Linked DNA regions of Tribolium castaneum. Each later gene encodes a partner of the first gene's protein in a complex. Links are inferred from orthologs where the notes say so. Each region holds a gene or a part of one and is shown in the gene's direction. Other genes may lie near its edges. The genes, in order: Taf7, Tfb4, TfIIB, Taf6 and transcription initiation factor TFIID subunit 8.

Region 1 (3,529 bases):
TACTTTAAATTTTTGAATTACAGTTAAAAACTATTATTACTTTTTAAAAATGGGAAAAAATCGAAAATGCAATATATTACTACTTTTTTATAGTGGTAGCTGAGAATCTAATCTCTATTATTACTATTATTAGTGCCTGTCTAGTTTAAACATTAATCTATATTTTTCATTTAAATTTCGTAAAGTAGAATGGATTCACAATATTAGAAGTTGAGCAAAAAAATCTTGAATGAATCTTGATCATAATTATGTAAAAAAAAACATATATGTATTTTAACTATTTACGTAAACATTAATCTGCTTTTTAGTAATGTAATATCTATTCCGGTTTTTGTCTCTCAAAGTTAGTTGTTATTAATTTATTATTCATGCACTTCAATAACTTAATAGCTAATGTAATTTGGAGTTCCAGTGACAGATACAGATCTAATAATAATAATTAACAACTTGGTATTTTACATTTTTATAAACGTTATTTAAAAAAAATATTCAGTAAATTGCTTTATTGGCATTTTATTGAGTTGGAATGACAAGTATCTAATCTAGGTACAAAAAAATCAAAAAACATCTCATTGTTTTTTGTTGGTTTAAGATCATTGTTTGATGTATTATGTTTATTTGAATGTTTTTAAGATGTACAACTTATAATAAATAATTGATGCTGATTATATACAAGAGTTATTAATATTATACAAGACGATAAAAAGATTGTTTATGTACAAGTGGAAAAGTTTAGTTTAAGGGTGACGAAGTCACGAGTAAACTTATTCCATAAATTACAACAGCGCATTTGAATTTTCCGGAGTGAGAAATAAAGCACAAATTGAGAGTTTCGGTAAAGGAAAAGAATTCTGTGTTAAACTAAATCCCAGCGACACGTTTCGAGCTAAGAAAGCCAACCAGAAACTCCAAAAATTACAAATGCGCTGTTGCAAAATTCTATTATGAATTGAAATGAGATATAGAAAAAATGCATTTTCAAATAAATTAAATCAAACAAAACAAAGTTTTTCGGATTTTTATAGACGCCAATCCGAAACTTATTCAGAATCCGAAATCAAGTAACTAAAATTAATATTGAACAGAACACGCCACTTTCTAGCCCTCAGTGAAATAACAAAATTTTTAATTCCAAAATATTTAACGACTTGGCCATTATTTTGTAAAATCATACTGTTAGGTAAAAAGTTATTTACTGTCCCGCCAAATTCAATGTGGCCACTTACAAACAATTAAAGAAACACTGTCAGACAATAAATATTTCAAATATTTCAAGAAAAAACAGATAAATGATAAATAACCTACGCCACTGACTTAAAGTCTTAGCATGCAGCGCCACCAGTACTCCACTTCCCCCAACCAACAGATACACCCACGGCCGATAAATCAGAAAACCACTTAGCATACCTAACCTCCACAACTCACAAACATAACCTCAACCGTCAACAAATAAAAGTTTGTCATTTTTAGCAATTAAAATATGGTGTTGTTACATTTACATTAAGTTTAAAATTCGTGTCAAATCCACTTTTGTATTAATTTAAGCCCCAATTATTGAAAAAAAAAAAATGTACAAAGGGGGCCACGAACCCGATTCACCTGCAGAACTCGAATGCCAGTTCATTTTACGTCTACCGGAAGAACCAGCCCGTGTCCTTCGCGAAGCCATCCGAAACAACAGCACCCTCAAAGACAGGGTGGCCATCAAAATAGAAAATGACATGCGACATGGTGAAGTCCGAATCGACCACTGGCTTTTACCAGCTAAAGTTATGGACCTTCCCACTATTATCGAGTCCCTTAAAACTATTGATTCGAAAGGTTTCTACAAAACAGCCGATATTTGCCAAATGCTCATATGTAAGGAAGAGGACGACCAAACGACTACTGATGAAGAGTCCCCACAAAAGTCGAAACGTAAAGACCCCAACAAAGTGGAGAAAAAATATCTGATGCCACACGGGATCACACCACCGACGAAAAACGTAAGGAAGCGACGATTCCGCAAGACTTTGAAGAAGAAATACGTGGAAGCCCCCGAAATAGAGAAGGAAGTCAAAAGATTGTTAAGGATAGACAATGATGCAGTTAGTGTTAAATGGGAGGTTATCAACGAAGACGACGAAAACAAAGTCAACAAAGGCACCGTGGTGAAGAAGGAACCTGCAGAAGCCCCCAATCAGAACGTGGCCGAACATGATATTTTCGGGGGGGCTGTGAGTGACTCAGAGGAGGAGGACGCCCACCTTAACGTATTGGAACTGGACGACAATAGTCAGAACTCGGCCGAAGACAGCCACCTGACTGACTCCAACTCAATGATGATCAATACCGCAAACTCAAAATTGTTGACAGAATTCACCAGTGATATGTTCAACGAAATGCAAAATTCCCCCTCTTTGATGCAAGAAATGGACTATTATCAGCAGTCATCCAGCAATATTTCCTACACAGAGCAGAATTTGAGTAAGAGTAATATTTTGGCGAGGCTTGAAGAGCTGCAGTTGGAGTTGGATAATTTGAAAATGAGGAGGCAACACCAGGAAATGGAAATTGAAAATATTGAGAATTTGGCGCTGAGACAACGCTTTCAGAATATTTTGGATAGGCTTCTGCAGGAGCAAATCGAGAAGGAACAGGAGAAATACGGGTTGGAGGAGCTTCTGAAGCAGCACCCAGAGTAGTATTGGAGTGGTTAAAAAATCGTATTTTGTAATTTTAGGTCCAAAAAGGGGTTATAGTGAAGTGTTTCTTGTAAGCGTATCAATGTTAGATTAATTAAAAAATCTGTTTTATTCGATTTTAATTGTGTAAATTTCTATAGATAATTATTTTTTATGAATAGGGCACAATTTAGAAAATAAACAACTTTATCGGCAAAAACTATACTTATTTTTAGTTTGTATTAGTCTCCATCATCAAGTCTATTTCAGGGACACTCATTATATCCCATTTCAGTTCATAGTAGAATTGCAACAGCGCATTTGATTTTTTGGAGTGAAAATAAAGCACAAATTGAGAATTTCTGTATAAGAAAAAAAATTCTGAGTTAAACCAAATTCCAGCGCCACACTTTGAGCTAAGAAAACCTAGCAGAAGCTCTCAATTTATGCTCCATTTCACTCAAAAAATTGCAAATGCGTTGTTGCAAAATTCTACTACGATCTGAAATGAGATATACATTTTTTTATTGCAAATCATAAAGTAAAATAACACGTTTCCTTATTTACCAGTATATAACAAGAAAATAAGTAAATTATTTAATAAATCATACTAATGCTCATTGCATTTTTAATCTGAGTTCAGCCTCAATTATAAAGACTCGTAAAGAAAAACTATCAATATTTATTTCAAAATTATAAAAAAAAACGGCAATAGTGTATTTAATTTTTTTTGGGTCAAATAGGTGACAAATTAACACTTTTTGGGTTTTCGTGCGATTTTGTTTTAAAATGAACTCTAGTGTTCTAGTGATCAGTTTAGTGCCAACAAAAGCCCCTAATTAAAAGAGAAAACCAAATGTGAAAAG
Region 2 (3,793 bases), on another chromosome or scaffold:
GTTGGTAAGACTAATTCAGACTGATTGTGCATCTTGGACTGAAACTATTTTAGATCAATTTGATAAAAATTTTTGTTTGAATGTTAATTATTATAAATTATTTCCTGTAAGGGTTTTTGTATAATTTTATAGTGTATTCATTTTATCACCCTTTCCTTTTTTCTGTTGCCAAAAATCCTCATCCTCTATCCTATGTATTTTATGTGATAAAGTCATTTTTTTCAAAGGTGGGTGCTACGACCGATTTTTGGCAATTTAGGTTACAAAGCGTTTTTATATGTTTGTGTAGATTGCTGTAATTAGTTTTGGTTGCCTTTTAAAGTGCCTTCGTCTAAAATTCGAATGTAAATTTCGTAAACTGTACGAAATCAAACTTATTCCTGTACATATAAGTTAAGCCCTAATAGATACCAATTTGTTAATTATATTTGTACATATGTTTTATTTTTATTTCAGATAAAAATAAACGGGATTAATTTATTTTTTGTTTTTTTTTTCTTTTGTTTACCCTGCATGCGAGGCCTGTGGCATGTTTTAGTCCCGGAAGTAGACTCTTTTATACTAATTTTTCCGTCAGTAAACGGATTAAGACTATTCAGTAAATGATTTTAAGTAAAAATACCTAAACAAGGTGAGTCTGCTGGAAGTATTTTTACTGTATTTCAAAAATTAATAATTACACAAAAATGAGGGTTTACTTAATATGTAATTACGAGCCTGAAAAAATTTTTTTTTATATTTCTTTTGATAATTTTAAAATAACAATGTTTAAATGGACTCTGAATTTGGCAGATGAGATATCGAAAAAATAAACTTTTAGCAGATTCATTCCGTATATTTTAAACCTGGGCTATTTGATTATTTCACATTCCAGTTCGTCAAAAGTGCTAAAAATGGAGGCTTACGACGCGGCTGTGCTCTCGTACGCGCTCGCGACCGCGGCCACGAAAATCAAGCCCGGCCTGCTGGGGATAGCCCCCATGTTGCCCCCGAGAATCCCCGACGGCGAGTCGCTCACGCCCCCCACGCGTCACCAGGAAACGGACGAGAACCGCAACTATCTCTACCAGCTTCTCTGCACCGTTGAGCAGCAAATCGTCAACAAAACTGCGGTACAGTTGCCCCAACTGATGGAAATTTGCGCAACGAAGCAGGCACAGGTGCGGCAGCCCCTTTTGTACCAAAATTCACCGCTTTTTGCAGGTGGATCAACAGACCATCGCGTACTTGGAGACACTCCAAACCGAGTTGCGACAAATTTGCAAAAACAACCCCTCAGCCACGCATTTACTGCAACTGCGAATCGAGGATGAGGGGGAACACAGTCCGGGAGTGTCCTTAAATACCGACATCGTCGTGAAAAGTTTGACCGAATTGATGAAACATTTCGGGCTGGTTTTGGGGCCCAATGTTTTAAAGAAGATTTTGTAAGCCTTAATTTTGTAAAAATTTTATATTTTGCCAGTTTCGTTCACGAACCTCATGTATGTGGCAAAAATATTACATATTTTAGCAGATACTGTCAAATTGTACATTTATCGATGAGTAAATGACTATTACCTGACTGAATTGAATTTGGCGGCCCCCCGTAACCTTACTTTTGACAAAATTTGAAAATGGACAAATTATAAAGCGCAAATGCACCCCAAACATGCAACCCACACCCCTGAACCCGGAATTACTCACCTTTGCTGCACCAAACGCCCGGCGGCACTTCTACAGGAAAAATAAATTCGAATTTTGAAACCACTTTGAAAGTAAAAACTGGTCACGTGACTAGTTGTGCTTGCGGTTACAAATCCCGAACACGATTAACATAAATTGGGCAAGCAGTACAATAACTTGCGTTAAAAACCACATGATCCAATACTTCCGTGCTTAGTCATTATTAAGGAAATTGGGGAAAAAAATATTGCATAACTTTCTGGCCCCAATGCCGGGAAGTGTCTCAAGTTACGTCACTCAATTCCCATATAACCCCACTTTTAAACCGCACATAAACAATGAATAATTTGGAGATCCCGGCCGATTCGGCCCCCGAATTCACCTCAACCAGCGAGACTAGTCTCCTGGTGGTAATCGTCGACAGTAACCCCAGCCAGAAGATGCTCCGAGACAACCCCCACGTCCTCACCCACTGCATAGACTCAGTCATAGCGTTCGCCAACTCTCATTTAATGCAAAAGGCGCAAAACAAGCTCGCCGTGATGGCTTGCCACTCCAAGACCAGGTACGTGCCCCCATAACCACCCCACTGTCTTTACCCCTAAACTCCAGCGAGTTCATCTACCCGGGCCCCAACAAGCCCCTCGACGTGCGCCAAATCGACGGCCAGTACGAGGTTTTCACGGCAGTGGAGAAAACAATCAAGCAGAACTTGGCCAAATTGCTGGCCACCGAAAAATCAACTCTTGTGACGGAGTCACTGCTCGCAGGGGCGATCGCTATGGCCCTGTGTTACATTGCGCGGATCCAGCGGACGAAGCCCCCCGGGTGTGTCCTAAACAGCCGCATTTTGGTGGTGACGGGGAGCGGAGACTCCGCCTCGCAGTATATGAATTATATGAACGTTTTTTTCACGGCGCAAAAACAGGGAATTGTGATTGATGTGTGCGCCCTTGACCAACATTTGAGTCTGCTGCAGCAAGGCTGCGATATCACAGGGGGGCTGTACTTGAAAGTCCCGCAACTGCAAGGCCTGTTACAATATCTTCTCGTAAGTTTTGTTTTTTTTTACTTAATTTCCTCATTTTTGCGATTTTTTATTTGAAATAATAAATAATTCTATTAAATGTTTGCTAAATGTTCGCATTTTAAGAAATAAATCACCAGATTTGGTGATATTTTACTAGACGTGGAAACACTGGCGTGTGAAAAATCCATTGCCAGCGTTGCCAACCTTGAATTATTTCCAGTGGGTGTTTTTGCCTGAGCCGCCTATTCGGCAAAAATTGGTGCTTCCGCCCCCTGTCAAGGTTGACTACAGGGCGGCTTGTTTCTGCCACCGGGAGTTAATTGATATAGGTTACGTCTGTTCGGTGTGTTTGTCAAGTGAGTGAAGTGGGCCGGTTTAAGCCCCAGCTAATGATTTTTGTTACAGTTTTCTGCAAGTTTAGCCCGATTTGTACGACTTGTCAGTATGTTTTTTCAAAATTGTGTTATTCGTGGACTAATTTTTTTTTCCAGTACTGTCTTCAAAATCCCAGGACCGTTAGCTGTGAAGCCGAAAAAGCGGAAAATCAAGTTGTAATAAAAATTTTTTTTGTTGAATTTGTTTTATTATTACCCTTGATAATGATAAATGCGCATTGTTTTGATTGGAATGAGGTCAGACGGGTCTGGTATTAATAGTTTCTAGGTCGTTTCTTGCTCTTTATTTACAATATATCATCGTAGTCATGTTTTATTTTGATATAAAATATATAAGAGCACTTTAAGTACTACAGAATAATAAAATATATTGTGTTGAAAAAATGTTAATATCACAAAAATAGTTCAGTCTGATTACCATCAGACGATGCTAACAACTGGAAAAATATGGTTTTCGCTTAATGCCCTACCTAAAGAAAACAAAAATTACAACTAATACTGTAATTTACAACAAAACTATCAACAATATGGCAACTGAATTCTTATCACTTATCACTCAACTAAAGTCGTCACGATGGCCATGACACTGATCCCTGCAATAAGGGCGAGGATCTGCTTGAGTGACTCCCGGGGGTCCTCCTCTTTGAGTAAATCCGGGAGGACCGTGACCAGCGCGATGTGGAGGAACGTCCCGGCCGTGAAG
Region 3 (4,338 bases), on another chromosome or scaffold:
AATTAATAATTACAATATCTACTGAGAGCAAAAGTATAAAACCAAGCCAAAACTATATACCTTACTAAAAATACGACCAATTAGTATAAAGATGGGATGTTTTATTTGTAGCCTCCCATAAAAAGGAGATTTTTTTTACTTTTTAATATAATCTCCTTGTAGTTATTAGCACTTATAGTCAATTGATGTTTCGAAATCTTTATACTATCCTTGTGGACCGATTCTTGTAACTCTTCAAAAAAACTTTTTTTAGCTGTAATTTCTTCAAACTTTGTTTTATACTTATTTCCAGTGTAATATTTTTTAAGTCCAGTAATAGACTGAAGCTAAATTGTTATACATTGGCGCATAAAATCCATTGGATTGCGTTAAAATAGCTCCAAGCATTGAAAATATCTGATTTTTTTCGGTGAGCTTTTGTGCTCAAAGAAGGAGCAATATGCCACCCATTTTGCCAATTTTTTCTCATACTTAAAAACTGATAAAAGATATGATGTTTGTGTTTTAAAATCCTCAAGGTTTGAACTATTTTATACAACTTTCATTTGTAATCTTCCAATACCGTTCTTTGGATTTTTCTGACTATTTCTGCAGGAGAAGCACTTTTCAACTTTTTTCGACGTGGTGTTTCCTAAGGCCTGTACCTGTATGGCTCAATTGAAACTTTGCAATACAGTTTTAACTATGCTAATGTAGAACCTAACACATTTTAAAAATATTTCTTTACAGTTCGAAACTCAGGTTTCACCATTTCTTAAAAAATCGAAAACTTAGGGCAGCCAATACAGAATTTGATACAAGCTTAGTCACTCTTCGAAAGGATAAAACTACATAAAAATATAATAATTAATGAAAAAAAGTCAACTGCTTTCTATAAGAGACCGCGAATTAGTCATCACATTCTAATCTATAATTTCATTCTAAAATAAATTATTAAATTTGCGTTCCGAGCTCATTACGAAGGTTTTTTGAGCTTGGTCGAAGTAGTTGAAAAAAAATATTGCCAAAACTTCAACTTAAAAATCTAACTCGAGAAGAACTGTATGTTGTGAAAAAATACACAAACAATGTTTTGTCAGTTGGATGTGACTGTCTTACCCAAGAGATGGTTCCGATTTCCCGAACGTTTTAAATCAGCTTATATTGCTTTGAAATTGGCGCCAGTTTATTACTTTTGAGGTCGCTACTGTACGTTCTTAACAGAAATCTGCTTTACCAATAAACTGGAAGTCGAATGACTGAAACCTGTTTTATCGGTACAGTGTCGATTAACTATCACACTTGTCAAAACTTGAAAATTGTCATAATAACAATAAATAGAGAAGAAATAGTGCAAAATTGTACAAGATGGCGAGTAGTTCAAGGTATTTTAGCATAAATAACTTGTTACGATTCCAATTTCAATAATAATGATGTTAACCTCAAATAATATTTCAGGTATGACACGAATAAGGTTTGTTGTAATTCTCATCCAGATGCCCCCCTTATTGAAGATTACAGAGCAGGCGATCAGATTTGCTCCGAATGCGGTTTAGTAGTAGGTGACAGGTAATATTCAAATCAATAAAACGCATCATAAGTTTATTTGCTTGCATCATTGTAGAGTAATAGACGTTGGATCTGAATGGAGAACCTTCAGCAACGAAAAATCGGGGGTCGATCCTTCTCGTGTTGGTGGCCCCGAGAACCCCCTTCTTAACGGCTCAGACCTGACCACAATGATAGGCCCCGGTCGAGGTTTGTTTTATTTAAATATTCCACTCAAATAAGCCTTTAAATTAAAATGTTAGTGAAAAGCTTACCTTTTTGAAATAAGTTACTGTCTGTGCTACTGTGAAGTATTTCAAAACGTTTTGTTTGAATCACGAGAAGGTATTGAAAAAACGAATAAACGAATAAAATGTTTCGTAATGATTGTAAAAAATCGATGACTTGGAAAAAAGTTTTTAATAAGAATTGTAAAGCATAAAATTCTATATATTAATATTCTGCCGAATTTTTTGACATTATTCAAATAAACAGAGTTTAGGGTGGTTGCAATAAATATAAAGGGATGATCTGTACAATTTTAAAAAGTGACTATAAACATTTGATTATTTTGCAAAATTTTCTGCTGCGTTGTAATCCGAAGGTCGTTTTTGTATTGGAAATTGTTTTCATTATGAAAAAGACGTTTTAGCGAAAAAATTACACAAACCTAAAACTGGACAAATCTTGAGTTTACAACCTCGTGTCTTCCTTTTTGATAAAGCTAGAATTTTTTTTCACAAAATTTTCAATTAATGTGGATGTTTACGTAGTTACTTAGTTGAATATTTATAAAGGGAACCCGAAAAAAATACATTTTCTTGTAACGTTGCATATTTGTGTATCGAAATTTTTGAGATGCAAGAAAGTTTTTTTGTTGTATAAGACAAACCTCTATTGAATAGAAATGGAATGAAGCTATTCCAGTAATATTTAGACAACTCTTGATTATTAACTGGCAATATTGCTGACCAGGATACTTGCCTCTTGTGATCGGTTTGAAGTTTAAAAAAATTGGGAAAATTTTGATTTTTAACTGTTAAAATTAAACAAGCCCCCTCTAATAACCCGAACGGTATTTATTGTACCTACAATCCGAACGTTTGAATTTCGTAATCCGAAATACCACATGTTGATTTTAATTCTTGATAGTTGTTTGCAATACATTTTAATTTTGTATTTTTTTATTTTGAAACACTTAACGGTGTTTATAGCCACTGAGTATAATTTTTGTGGTAGGGATATGTATTTGCATGGTTATTTGGTTATGTAAGGTAACTGTAAACCGAACGCGTGTTGGGATTATTGATATTATTTGCAATCTGCAAATTTTCTGTTCGAATTATTCAAACATTACTGTACTTCATATCAGCTTTTGGTCACGAATCATTTCGATATCTGTAATAGTTTTTGAAATATTGGGAAAAATCCACTAATAGAGGGAGCACCCTTTTCAGAGTGTGTAGGGTAGGTTTCTTACGAAGTACTTATCAATACATGTTTATAGGAAACGTTTGTCTTAAAATTGAATGTTCTATCATCTGTTTAAATTCGTAACAATAAAAACGGAACACTCTGTATAAATGTTGCTCTTATTTCTTACGATGGGAAACACATCCAATAATTTTTAATTTCTACTGGCTAATTTTGTCATTGTTAAAGTCTTTCAATAAAGTAAAACCTGTGTGAATAACTTTTAAAGTTATTTGCATGCACAAGATTTTTTTACCCCATATGTGTAAACAAAAAGTAAATTAATTAGAAGTTGTAACATATTACCTTGTTGTTCGTTTTCGTGGTTTCAAAAGATTCACCTTTAACTTCAAAGATAATTGTTGGAATTAGTGCACTTTAAATTAACAGAATTGTATAATGATTGCTCAACGAAAAAAATGTGAGGTCTTTTCTGTGTCCCGTCCGTCATCAATTTGTGTTTCTTTTTCCTGTCCATATTTGAATTTTTACAAATGTGGCTCCTATGTAGGTTGCAAACCGTTTAACTGGTACTAAGTTCCTATAAATAAAAATTCACTTTTACTGATACTGTTCATAAAAACTGAAAATGAAATAGAAACCATGTGAAGTGTCCCGTCCGTTAAAATGGAATGGCTGCTAAAACATACTTTGTTTTTGATTTTCAAAACGTTTTTAACTTATATGTATAGAAAGATGCAAGCTTTTTCCCAAAATTTTGATTTATTTATTTTGACTGGACAACAAAACTTATCACAGTTTGTCTTTTAATTTTTTTCCAGGGGACGCCTCCTTTGATAGTTTCGGTGTCGCGCGCTACCAGAACCGTAAAACCATGAGCAGTTCCGACCGCGCTTTGATCAACGCTTTTCGTGAAATCAACGGAATGGCGGATCGCATTAATCTTCCAAGGACTATAGTAGACCGTGCTAATAACTTGTTCAAACAAGTGCATGATGGACGTAACTTGAAAGGACGCTCTAACGACGCCATAGCGTCGGCGTGTCTTTACATAGCTTGTCGGCAAGAGGGCGTCCCTCGAACGTTCAAAGAAATCTGCGCCGTCAGTAAAATTAGTAAACGAGAGATTGGAAGATGTTTTAAATTGATTTTGAAAGCGCTTGAAACTTCAGTGGATCTCATTACCACTGGTGATTTTATGTCGAGGTTTTGCTCGAACCTTGGTTTGCCGAATATGGTGCAAAGGGCGGCTACGCATATTGCAAGGAAGGCGGTGGAGTTGGATATTGTTCCAGGGAGATCGCCGATTTCTGTAGCTGCAGCTGCTATTTACATGGCGTCACAGGTAAGAGAGTAATTTCTAAAATTCAGGCCCTG
Region 4 (4,488 bases), on another chromosome or scaffold:
TACACAGTTGAAACCCGGCAACTTTTCATAGGACAGGAAAACGGGACCGTGTCAGAATTCTCGCTGGCATCAGACTTCAACCGAATGATGCCAGTGCGGGAGTACCTAGCACATCAGGCAAGAGTCACCGAAATTATTTTTGCCATCAACTGCGAATGGGTTCTGAGCGTGAGCAGGGATAAAGTGTTTTCGTACAATTGCACACAAACCGGCCGCAACATTGGGACTTACACGGCTGAGGCCTGGTGCACCTCTCTACAGTACTAATTTTTTGCGGAAAATTTTCGAGTCATGTCTTTAATTTTTGCAGATTTGATGCACAAACCAAACATGCGTTTGTTGGGGATTATTCTGGTCAAATAACTATGTTAAAATTGGATAATGCGGGCCCTAGTGTTATCACAACTTTGAAGGGGCACTCGGGCTCTGTTAGGTCACTGGCTTGGGACAGCGAGCGGCAGATGTTATTTAGTGGCTCCTACGACCAAACTGTTATCGTTTGGGACATAGGGGGGCAACAGGGCAACGCCTACGAGCTGCAAGGTCACCACAACAAGGTAAACATTGTTTATTACAACCGCAGTTGGATTTTTTCCGAAGCAAAGATAATTGTTTATTGGTTACGTAGGTCAAGGTTTGTTTTTTGTTGGCGATCGGCATTTGAAATTAAATTGGCAACAGTGCCAAAAATTACCAAAATTGTGGAAACAAGTGAATGTGATATTACAGGTCTCTGCTTTGTGCTACCTTAACTCGACCAAACAATTGGTCAGCGCGGGCGAGGACGGGGTGCTGGTCTTCTGGGACATGAACCAAACGCGTCAGGAGACTCCCGAGTGGATCGAGTCCGATTTATGTCAGTTGTGTGGAAGACCGTTCTTTTGGAACTTCCGAGCCATGATGGACCAGCGACAGTTGGGTTTACGGCAACACCACTGCAGACATTGCGGGAAAGCAGTTTGCGAGAAATGTTCCACAGGTAGATTAACAATTCCAGCGATGGGTTTCGAGTTCGCAGTGCGTGTCTGTGACCCTTGTCACCACTTGTTAAGGGATAGAGAGTGAGTTGCAAGTGGTGAAGTTATGTCTTGCTAAAGTTTTTTACAGGAGGGTGTCTTTAGCCACATTCCATGATGCTAAGCATAGTATTACAGCGATGGGATTGGACGAGACTCGCAAAAAATTGGTAACAGTCGGACAGGACCGGCTAATCAAAATTTGGGACATTTCCGCTTTGCTTTGAATCCGACTGGTTTAGTTACTAACGCTGGAATGTGATTCACACTCAATTAATTAATGTGCTATGATTTATTACATTATGTAAAATTTAAATATTATTAATGTTATATTTATATTCTATAAGTTCTATTGAAAATAAATCTATTATAATCACAGAATTGCGCCTCATTTGTGCTATTTTTGAACCCAAGTGTGCGAACAAGTGACATGATTCCATGAACGGATGGTAATCTGTGGTGACGTCAAATTTACAGGAACCTGCTTTCGGTCCGATTGTTGTCAGTTTTTTTCGAACAAACAATTGTTCGTTGTGATTTTTTCTCCCCCACACGATTAAATCAATTAAGTGCACTCTTCTTCATGATCCTTTAATACTTTGGTTCTTTAATGTTGTTGTTATGCGGCATGTGTTGGTGTTTTCGTCGTGCGTGCCACTCGAGTTGGCACCACTGGTAAACAAAACAAGCGCATATGCCAATTTTTGGCCCCCTTTTTGCCTTGAAAAATGTCCAAAAACGCTGAAAATGACTTATACGGAACGAATTTATCCGTCGAATCTATGAAGGTAATAGCCGAAAGCATCGGAATTGGAAATTTGCCCGACGACGCTGCAAAGGAACTAGCTGAAGACATCTCATTTAAACTGAAACACATCATTCAAGACGCTGCGAAGTTCGTCCACCATGCCAAACGAACAAAACTGATGCAGAGCGACATTGACGCAGCCCTCAAAGCCAAAAACTTGGAGGTATGTGGGCTTTTTGGTTATTTAACCTCATTGTGTCTTACAGCCCCAGTACGGTTTCCAATCGGCCGAAGGCCTCCCGTTCCGTTTTGCATCAGGCGGCGGACGTGAGCTTCATTTTATTGAGGAGAAGGAGGTGGTTTTGAACGATTTGTTGCAAAATTTGAACGCCAAAGCACCACTTGAGGTGTCTTTGAGGTCCCATTGGTTGTGCATCGATGGGGTGCAGCCCACAATACCCGAAAATCCGCCACCGGTGGCCAAAAACATACAAAAAGTAAAGTTTGCGTTGTTATCGCCACTGGTTCGTTTTTATTGGTTTGGGTTGTAGTTGGAGTCGGTTGATCCTATTAATAAAAAACCAAACAAGGAAACATCAGGGAAACCCACAACTGGAAAACAGAAATTACGAAATGTGGAAACTGTGCAAATTAAACAATTGGCCACGCATGAATTATCAGTGGAGCAACAGTTGTATTATAAGGAAATTACCGAGGCTTGTGTGGGGTCAGATGAGGCACGGAGGGCCGAGGCTTTACAAAGTCTAGCCTCCGATCCAGGGCTTCACGAAATGTTGCCCCGCATGTGCACTTTTATCATAGAGGGGGTCAGGGTGAACGTTGTACAAAATAATTTAGCGCTTCTTATTTATCTAATGAGGATGGTTAAGGCTCTCTTAGACAACCAATCGTTGTACCTCGAAAAATATGTAAGTATAGTATGGACCAAGAAAACATTTTTTCGCTCATTTTACAAAATTATGTTTTGCTTGATTTTTAAAAGTTCGTATAAGTAGCTATAATTTGTTGTTTAATTACAGTTACACGAATTAATTCCGTCGGTAACAACCTGTATTGTCTCGAAACAACTGTGCATGCGCCCCGAGCTGGACAACCATTGGGCGCTTCGCGACTTCGCCTCACGTCTCATGTCCCAAATTTGTAAAAACTTCAACACTAGCACGAACAACATCCAGACCAGAATTACCCGAATGTTTACAAATGCGCTCCAACAGGGCGATAAAGTCCCACTTTCGTCCCTTTACGGTGCCCTTGAGGGGCTTTCAGAGCTAGGGGCGGAAGTAATCAGAATTTTTATATTACCGCGATTAAAATCAATCGGAGCCCGAATTGAAATGCACCTTCAAGGACCAACTACTTCCAATATTGATAAAATCGCCTCGGAACATATTAAGCAATTGCTAATTAAAGTTGTGGCTCCCGTATTGAAAAATTTGAAAAATCCACCTGATTATGTAGAGGAGTATAAGCAAGAGTTTGGGTATTTGGGGCCCGCGTTACACGCAGCTGTGGTGAAAGCAAGGACACAACCGACGCCTTCGACAACAACGGCCTGCAATATTTCGACGTCGTTGACGAACGTGGGGGCCACTATTACGAGGACTGTGAGCCAGCCCTGCCAGATTATACAACAGGTAAGTGCATTAAAAAGTTTCAAAATGTGCTTCAAACGATTGACCTGAAATCCCAATAATTCCTGTAATTCCCACCTAATTTTTTTTTGTTTTCGTTGCTATAAGAAATTCAACGCAATATCTATTATCAATATTCTGATTCCAAATAGATTTGCACTAATTCTAAAAACAATTCCATAAATCCCAAAGGAAATTTTAATAATCCTTATTCGTCCAAGCGATTTTGATTAAGTTCCAAAAAAGTGTACACCCAGGACCAAAATAAGTGGCATCCCAATTCGTTCATACCCGTACGTACAAAACCGTAGAAAAAACGACGTCTAACCGCACCTTAACCTCTGGCATAAATCTTTTCGGTCATAAAATTAACAATTAACATAATTTGAATACTTCATTTAGCGATTCCACTATTAAAAATCGCTAAATATTTATTACAAATTTTTTTGAATTAATAAAATGTTTTACAAATTAGAAATGTTTTAGCTATTTTTTAGCCATTAAAGTAGGTTGTAGAGGTTTTACTGTATTATATTATTAAACATATTACTGTATATGTTTGCAATAAATATTTAGCAGTTTTTGGAAGCCGGTAAAAGAACTGTTCAAGAAATGTTATTTTTATGAACGAAAAAATTAAATTCCAATTCCAAGAAACCCACCAAAATTCCAGTAATTATAATTACTTGGGGTGTTTAATAAAATAAACGTGAAAGTGGATGTGCAGTTGGTTTTTTATTGCCGCAGAACACCGGCCCTCAGCGCACGATCGTAATGAACCAATCAGGGCGAGTCGCTAACCAGATAAACAACCAAAAAATCTTATTTGTGACACAACGTCCTCCAACCCCGGGAGGTTCCGTTCAACCATCCTCTCAATCGCAACAAAACACAGTCGTTAAATTTGTCTCAAACACGAGCACAATCAGTCAGCAAAAAATGATTACGACACAAAAGTTAATCCAAGGAAATCAACCACCGGTGGCAGTGGTTCAGAAAAGTACGTTTCAACAAAGCCAATTGAAAAAAGCGGATCAGATGCAGCCTCCAACTGTCGACGATTTGTCACATT
Region 5 (3,560 bases), on another chromosome or scaffold:
ATTGAAGAGACTATTTGCTAGTCGATTATAGAGTAGGTACTAGAAGAGGCATATTTTTTTAATAAGTAAATGAACGAAAAATTAATTTGTGTAGGTATTGCCACGAATGCATGAACAAGGCGACAGGCGAGCGCAATTGCATCGTTTGCGGCAAGAAATCGTCGACGTCTGGCACTCGGCTGATTTTATGCGAACTGTGTCCTCGCGCCTACCACACCGACTGCATTCACCCCATCATGCACAAAGTTCCTCGCGGCAAATGGTACTGTTCCAAATGCATATCGAAAAAGCCTCAGAAGAAGACGATGCGTAAAAACCACGCAAAGTCTAGCAAAGATAGCGAACTGTCCGACCATCCTCCTTCTAGGTACCTCTCAATTTTTCGTTTTTTATTTATTAACATGTCGCGTCTCCAGTCCCGCACCGTCTCATAGTTCCGTTACGACGAACGAAGAAGCAACGAATTGCAACCAAAGCGACGTCTCTAACTCGAGTCTCGGCAACGCAGGCTCTCCGTCCACGCAAACGTGCAAGAAGGACCGCATCTCGAAGAAACTACTCAAAGAACTCGCGCCGTGCAAGACGATTCTGGAGGATTTGGAGTGCCATGATGACGCGTGGCCCTTTTTGCTTCCGGTGAATACGAAGCAGTTTCCCACTTACAAAAAAATCATCAAAACGCCGATGGATTTGTCGACGATCAAGAAGAAACTGTACGATGTGAGGTTGGTGTTTTGACTTGAAAATTGATGGTGTGAGTTATTTGGGCGTTTTTCTAGTTATAAATCCAAAGAGGAGTTCGTTCTGGACGTGAGACAGATTTTCAACAACTGCGAAGTGTTCAACGAGGACGACAGTCCTGTGGGAAAGGCAGGCCACTGCATGCGCCAGTTTTTCGAAGCTCGGTGGAACGAGCTGAGTATTTCAAATAGTTGAGGACTACTTTATCCCAAAAGACCTTACCATCGAAGAATGCGGCCCCCGGAAAACAGTGTTTAAATTGCGATGAGGTGTGAATACAAACTAATTTTTTCAGAAAAACAGTACAGGTATTTCCAGTGTGTGATATTGACTTTAAAAATGTATACTTCAGCTTTTTATCGTTCGGAAATTGTAATTATTTGAATGCAATTAAAGTCTTGGATTTGCGCATCACTTAATGAATTGACTTAAACAAGAATGTGATTTTTAGTTGGTTTCTCAATTTGTATTAATTTGTATTTTTGATAATTGTGTATTTTTTTATTTAATTATTTATTTAGGATAACTATTTTGTTCATTAAATGTTCAGTGGTTTCTATTTATTTATTTTTCTAACTCAATTTCAGTTTCCCGACTTGAAGTCTGGTTCAGTTACAGTGAATAAATTAGAGTAAGAGTTTGTATAAAATGTAAAGAAATTTCTTCACATAATTGCATCGCTCAACATTAAATTAAATGTCTCTCTAGCCTATTACAAAATGTTTTTATGTAAGCTGAACATAGTTCTCAAAGGAAAGGATGTATTAATAAATAATGTGTTTGGTAGGCTAGTTCTCTGCAGCGCTAAACTGCAACTCATAGAACTAGGTTATGTATTTTAATGTAAGATATTTATATTAATTATATTTACTTATAAATGTCGCCTTTTTTCATTTCTCTCCAACCGCTACTACCCTGTTTTCCAACCACACGTTGGAAATTTTTGGAATTCCCGCGTATGGATGTTTAAATTTCGGCTCTTTGGTGATTCGGTCAGAAACACAAGCTTGTCATTTGTCAAACGTTATTATAACCTTAACTTTTCGGAACGTAAATAACAACAAACTTTGCTTTAAACTTTAAAAAATGGAACAAACCACCACCCAGCAAGTAAACGTTTACCGAAAAATGTTAGCAGCGTCAGTCTGCAGCATTCTAATGGAGTCTGGTTTCGATACGGCCGACAAAGAAAGCCTCGGTACTTTAACAGAAATGATCCAGTGCTGTAAGCCCCTCAACCCTTTTTTCGCGAAATAAGCACACTTTCTTGCAGTCCTAACCGAAGTGGGGGCACTTTCGAAAAGCTACTGCGAGTTGTCGGGCCGTTCGGAGCCCGTGGTGGCCGACGTGATTTTAGCATTTGTGGAAATGGGGCACAATTTCAACGACTTGATGGTGTACACAAAAGGCATGAAGCATTCGGTTTTACCCCCACTACAACCACAGCAGCCCCAGAAGCAGCTAAATATGTTACCAGCTGGCTCGAAGCACCCTTTACCCCCTTACATCCCTCAGCATTTACCCCAGTTTCCGGACCCCCACGCCTACGTTCGCACTCCTGTAGGTTTGTGCTGTTGGGGCGCGTCAAATATTTTATTGTTCTATTACAGACACACAAACAACCAATTATTGATTACGAATCAGTGAGAGAAAAAGCGGCAGTTCAGAAAAAAGACATAGAAAAGGCGTTAACGAAGTTTCTTGCCAAGACTAACCCCACACATAATTTGTTTGACACAGATGAGGCGAATATTTTTCCACGTAAGTGGTCCGTTTTTTATTTGGAATTTTTATTTCGTGAGTGGTGGTCAATAGTGCTCTGGAAAAAATTGGTTGCAGAGCACTCTTGACTACGTTTTTGTTTTATACCCACTATAGCAATTGAAATATTTTAGTGATAGCTTGTAAGCCTGCGTACCCCCCTTACTTGAGCGCTCTCCTGCCCCAGGATCAAATTTTTGATCCTGAAGACCTCGAATATGACCACAAAAGTCAAATGATGCAACAATCAAAAGAACAAAAAGCGAAAGAAAAAGCTGAAAATAAAGAAGAAGAAGAGACTGAAGAAACACTAAATGATTCCACAAAAAGTGAAGAAAACACAAACCCAAATGGGTACATTGATAATCCGTATTTGGCCGCAACGAAGCTGCCTAAAAAGGACGAAATGGAGGTGTCATAAGTAAGACTAAATTATAAGTTTAAATTTTTTATTTATACAACATGTAGTTATTTATAAGAATCGGAGTTATAGAAATGAATATAACAAGATTTGAATCAAACACAATTTTGTTGCTTGTTGCAAACAAGAATGGCTGGAACAAAGCCTCCTCTTCCAAACTTGTCATCCATCCGACCACACTTTCATTCCGATTTTGTACTTTGAGCCACAACATCAAGGGCTGGAAGTACTGAAGCATTGCTTCAGCAGACAGGCGATCCGACTGTCCTCTAGTTAACATTTTTATCACTTCTTTCCAATGTCTGGCCTTCCCGACTTTTAGCAAGTCCCTAAAAATATCTAATTAATTTTTATTACAAGTATTGAACAGTCATTACGATAAAACGCGTCCGGCTTCCCTCGACCGGTAAATATCGCAATTATGCAACGGCCCCACATGCCCTGAAGCAAAACACATCGAGCTGTGAATTTGGAATTCGAGCAAAAGCGCGACGTAATATTTCATGTACGGAATATCGGCGGGAATGTGGCGTTTTGCAGCGGCGTCGAAGTGGTTTTCAGTGCGAGGGATTGGGGGGATTAATCCCTGGTAGCGCAGGCGCAATTCCCACCAAACTGCGTTCATGTTTTGCACCCC

The links.
Region 2: Taf7 (region 1) and Tfb4 share a complex: the UniProt entries of both Homo sapiens proteins name them as parts of the TFIID-containing RNA polymerase II pre-initiation complex. The link is inferred for Tribolium castaneum from reciprocal best matches to the Homo sapiens genes TAF7 and GTF2H3.
Region 3: Taf7 (region 1) and TfIIB share a complex: the UniProt entries of both Homo sapiens proteins name them as parts of the TFIID-containing RNA polymerase II pre-initiation complex. The link is inferred for Tribolium castaneum from reciprocal best matches to the Homo sapiens genes TAF7 and GTF2B.
Region 4: Taf7 (region 1) and Taf6 share a complex: the UniProt entries of both Homo sapiens proteins name them as parts of the TFIID basal transcription factor complex. The link is inferred for Tribolium castaneum from reciprocal best matches to the Homo sapiens genes TAF7 and TAF6.
Region 5: Taf7 (region 1) and transcription initiation factor TFIID subunit 8 share a complex: the UniProt entries of both Homo sapiens proteins name them as parts of the TFIID basal transcription factor complex. The link is inferred for Tribolium castaneum from reciprocal best matches to the Homo sapiens genes TAF7 and TAF8.

Annotation. Positions count from the first base shown.
Region 1 is NC_087394.1:13,420,345-13,423,873, reverse strand, and holds Taf7 (transcription initiation factor TFIID subunit 7), read left to right. Parts: upstream 1-1,394; 5' UTR 1,395-1,568; coding exon 1,569-2,684; 3' UTR 2,685-2,883; downstream 2,884-3,529. UniProt on the Homo sapiens protein: The TFIID basal transcription factor complex plays a major role in the initiation of RNA polymerase II (Pol II)-dependent transcription.
Region 2 is NC_087395.1:24,750,911-24,754,703, reverse strand, and holds Tfb4 (general transcription factor IIH subunit 3), read left to right. Parts: upstream 1-1,827; 5' UTR 1,828-2,003; coding exon 2,004-2,230; intron 2,231-2,277; coding exon 2,278-2,716; intron 2,717-2,852; coding exon 2,853-3,051; intron 3,052-3,100; coding exon 3,101-3,137; intron 3,138-3,186; coding exon 3,187-3,250; 3' UTR 3,251-3,270; downstream 3,271-3,793. Other genes in the region: Cdk12 (cyclin-dependent kinase 12), read left to right, coding at 875-1,160, 1,204-1,431; Zip99C (zinc transporter ZIP13 homolog), read right to left, coding at 3,643-3,793. UniProt on the Homo sapiens protein: Component of the general transcription and DNA repair factor IIH (TFIIH) core complex, which is involved in general and transcription-coupled nucleotide excision repair (NER) of damaged DNA and, when complexed to CAK, in RNA transcription by RNA polymerase II.
Region 3 is NC_087398.1:13,752,166-13,756,503, forward strand, and holds the start of TfIIB (transcription initiation factor IIB), read left to right. Parts: upstream 1-1,215; 5' UTR 1,216-1,347; coding exon 1,348-1,364; intron 1,365-1,437; coding exon 1,438-1,548; intron 1,549-1,603; coding exon 1,604-1,737; intron 1,738-3,782; coding exon 3,783-4,306; intron 4,307-4,338. UniProt on the Homo sapiens protein: General transcription factor that plays a role in transcription initiation by RNA polymerase II (Pol II). Involved in the pre-initiation complex (PIC) formation and Pol II recruitment at promoter DNA.
Region 4 is NC_087398.1:814,579-819,066, forward strand, and holds the start of Taf6 (transcription initiation factor TFIID subunit 6), read left to right. Parts: upstream 1-1,482; 5' UTR 1,483-1,744; coding exon 1,745-1,987; intron 1,988-2,030; coding exon 2,031-2,261; intron 2,262-2,315; coding exon 2,316-2,693; intron 2,694-2,804; coding exon 2,805-3,419; intron 3,420-4,163; coding exon 4,164-4,488. Other genes in the region: Wdfy2 (WD repeat and FYVE domain-containing protein 2), read left to right, coding at 1-260, 311-557, 730-1,061, 1,108-1,243. UniProt on the Homo sapiens protein: The TFIID basal transcription factor complex plays a major role in the initiation of RNA polymerase II (Pol II)-dependent transcription.
Region 5 is NC_087396.1:13,179,858-13,183,417, forward strand, and holds transcription initiation factor TFIID subunit 8, read left to right. Parts: upstream 1-1,732; 5' UTR 1,733-1,827; coding exon 1,828-1,966; intron 1,967-2,014; coding exon 2,015-2,301; intron 2,302-2,351; coding exon 2,352-2,502; intron 2,503-2,636; coding exon 2,637-2,923; 3' UTR 2,924-2,951; downstream 2,952-3,560. Other genes in the region: tou (bromodomain adjacent to zinc finger domain protein 2B), read left to right, coding at 95-367, 417-725, 780-936; angiotensin-converting enzyme, read right to left, coding at 2,952-3,252, 3,301-3,560. UniProt on the Homo sapiens protein: The TFIID basal transcription factor complex plays a major role in the initiation of RNA polymerase II (Pol II)-dependent transcription.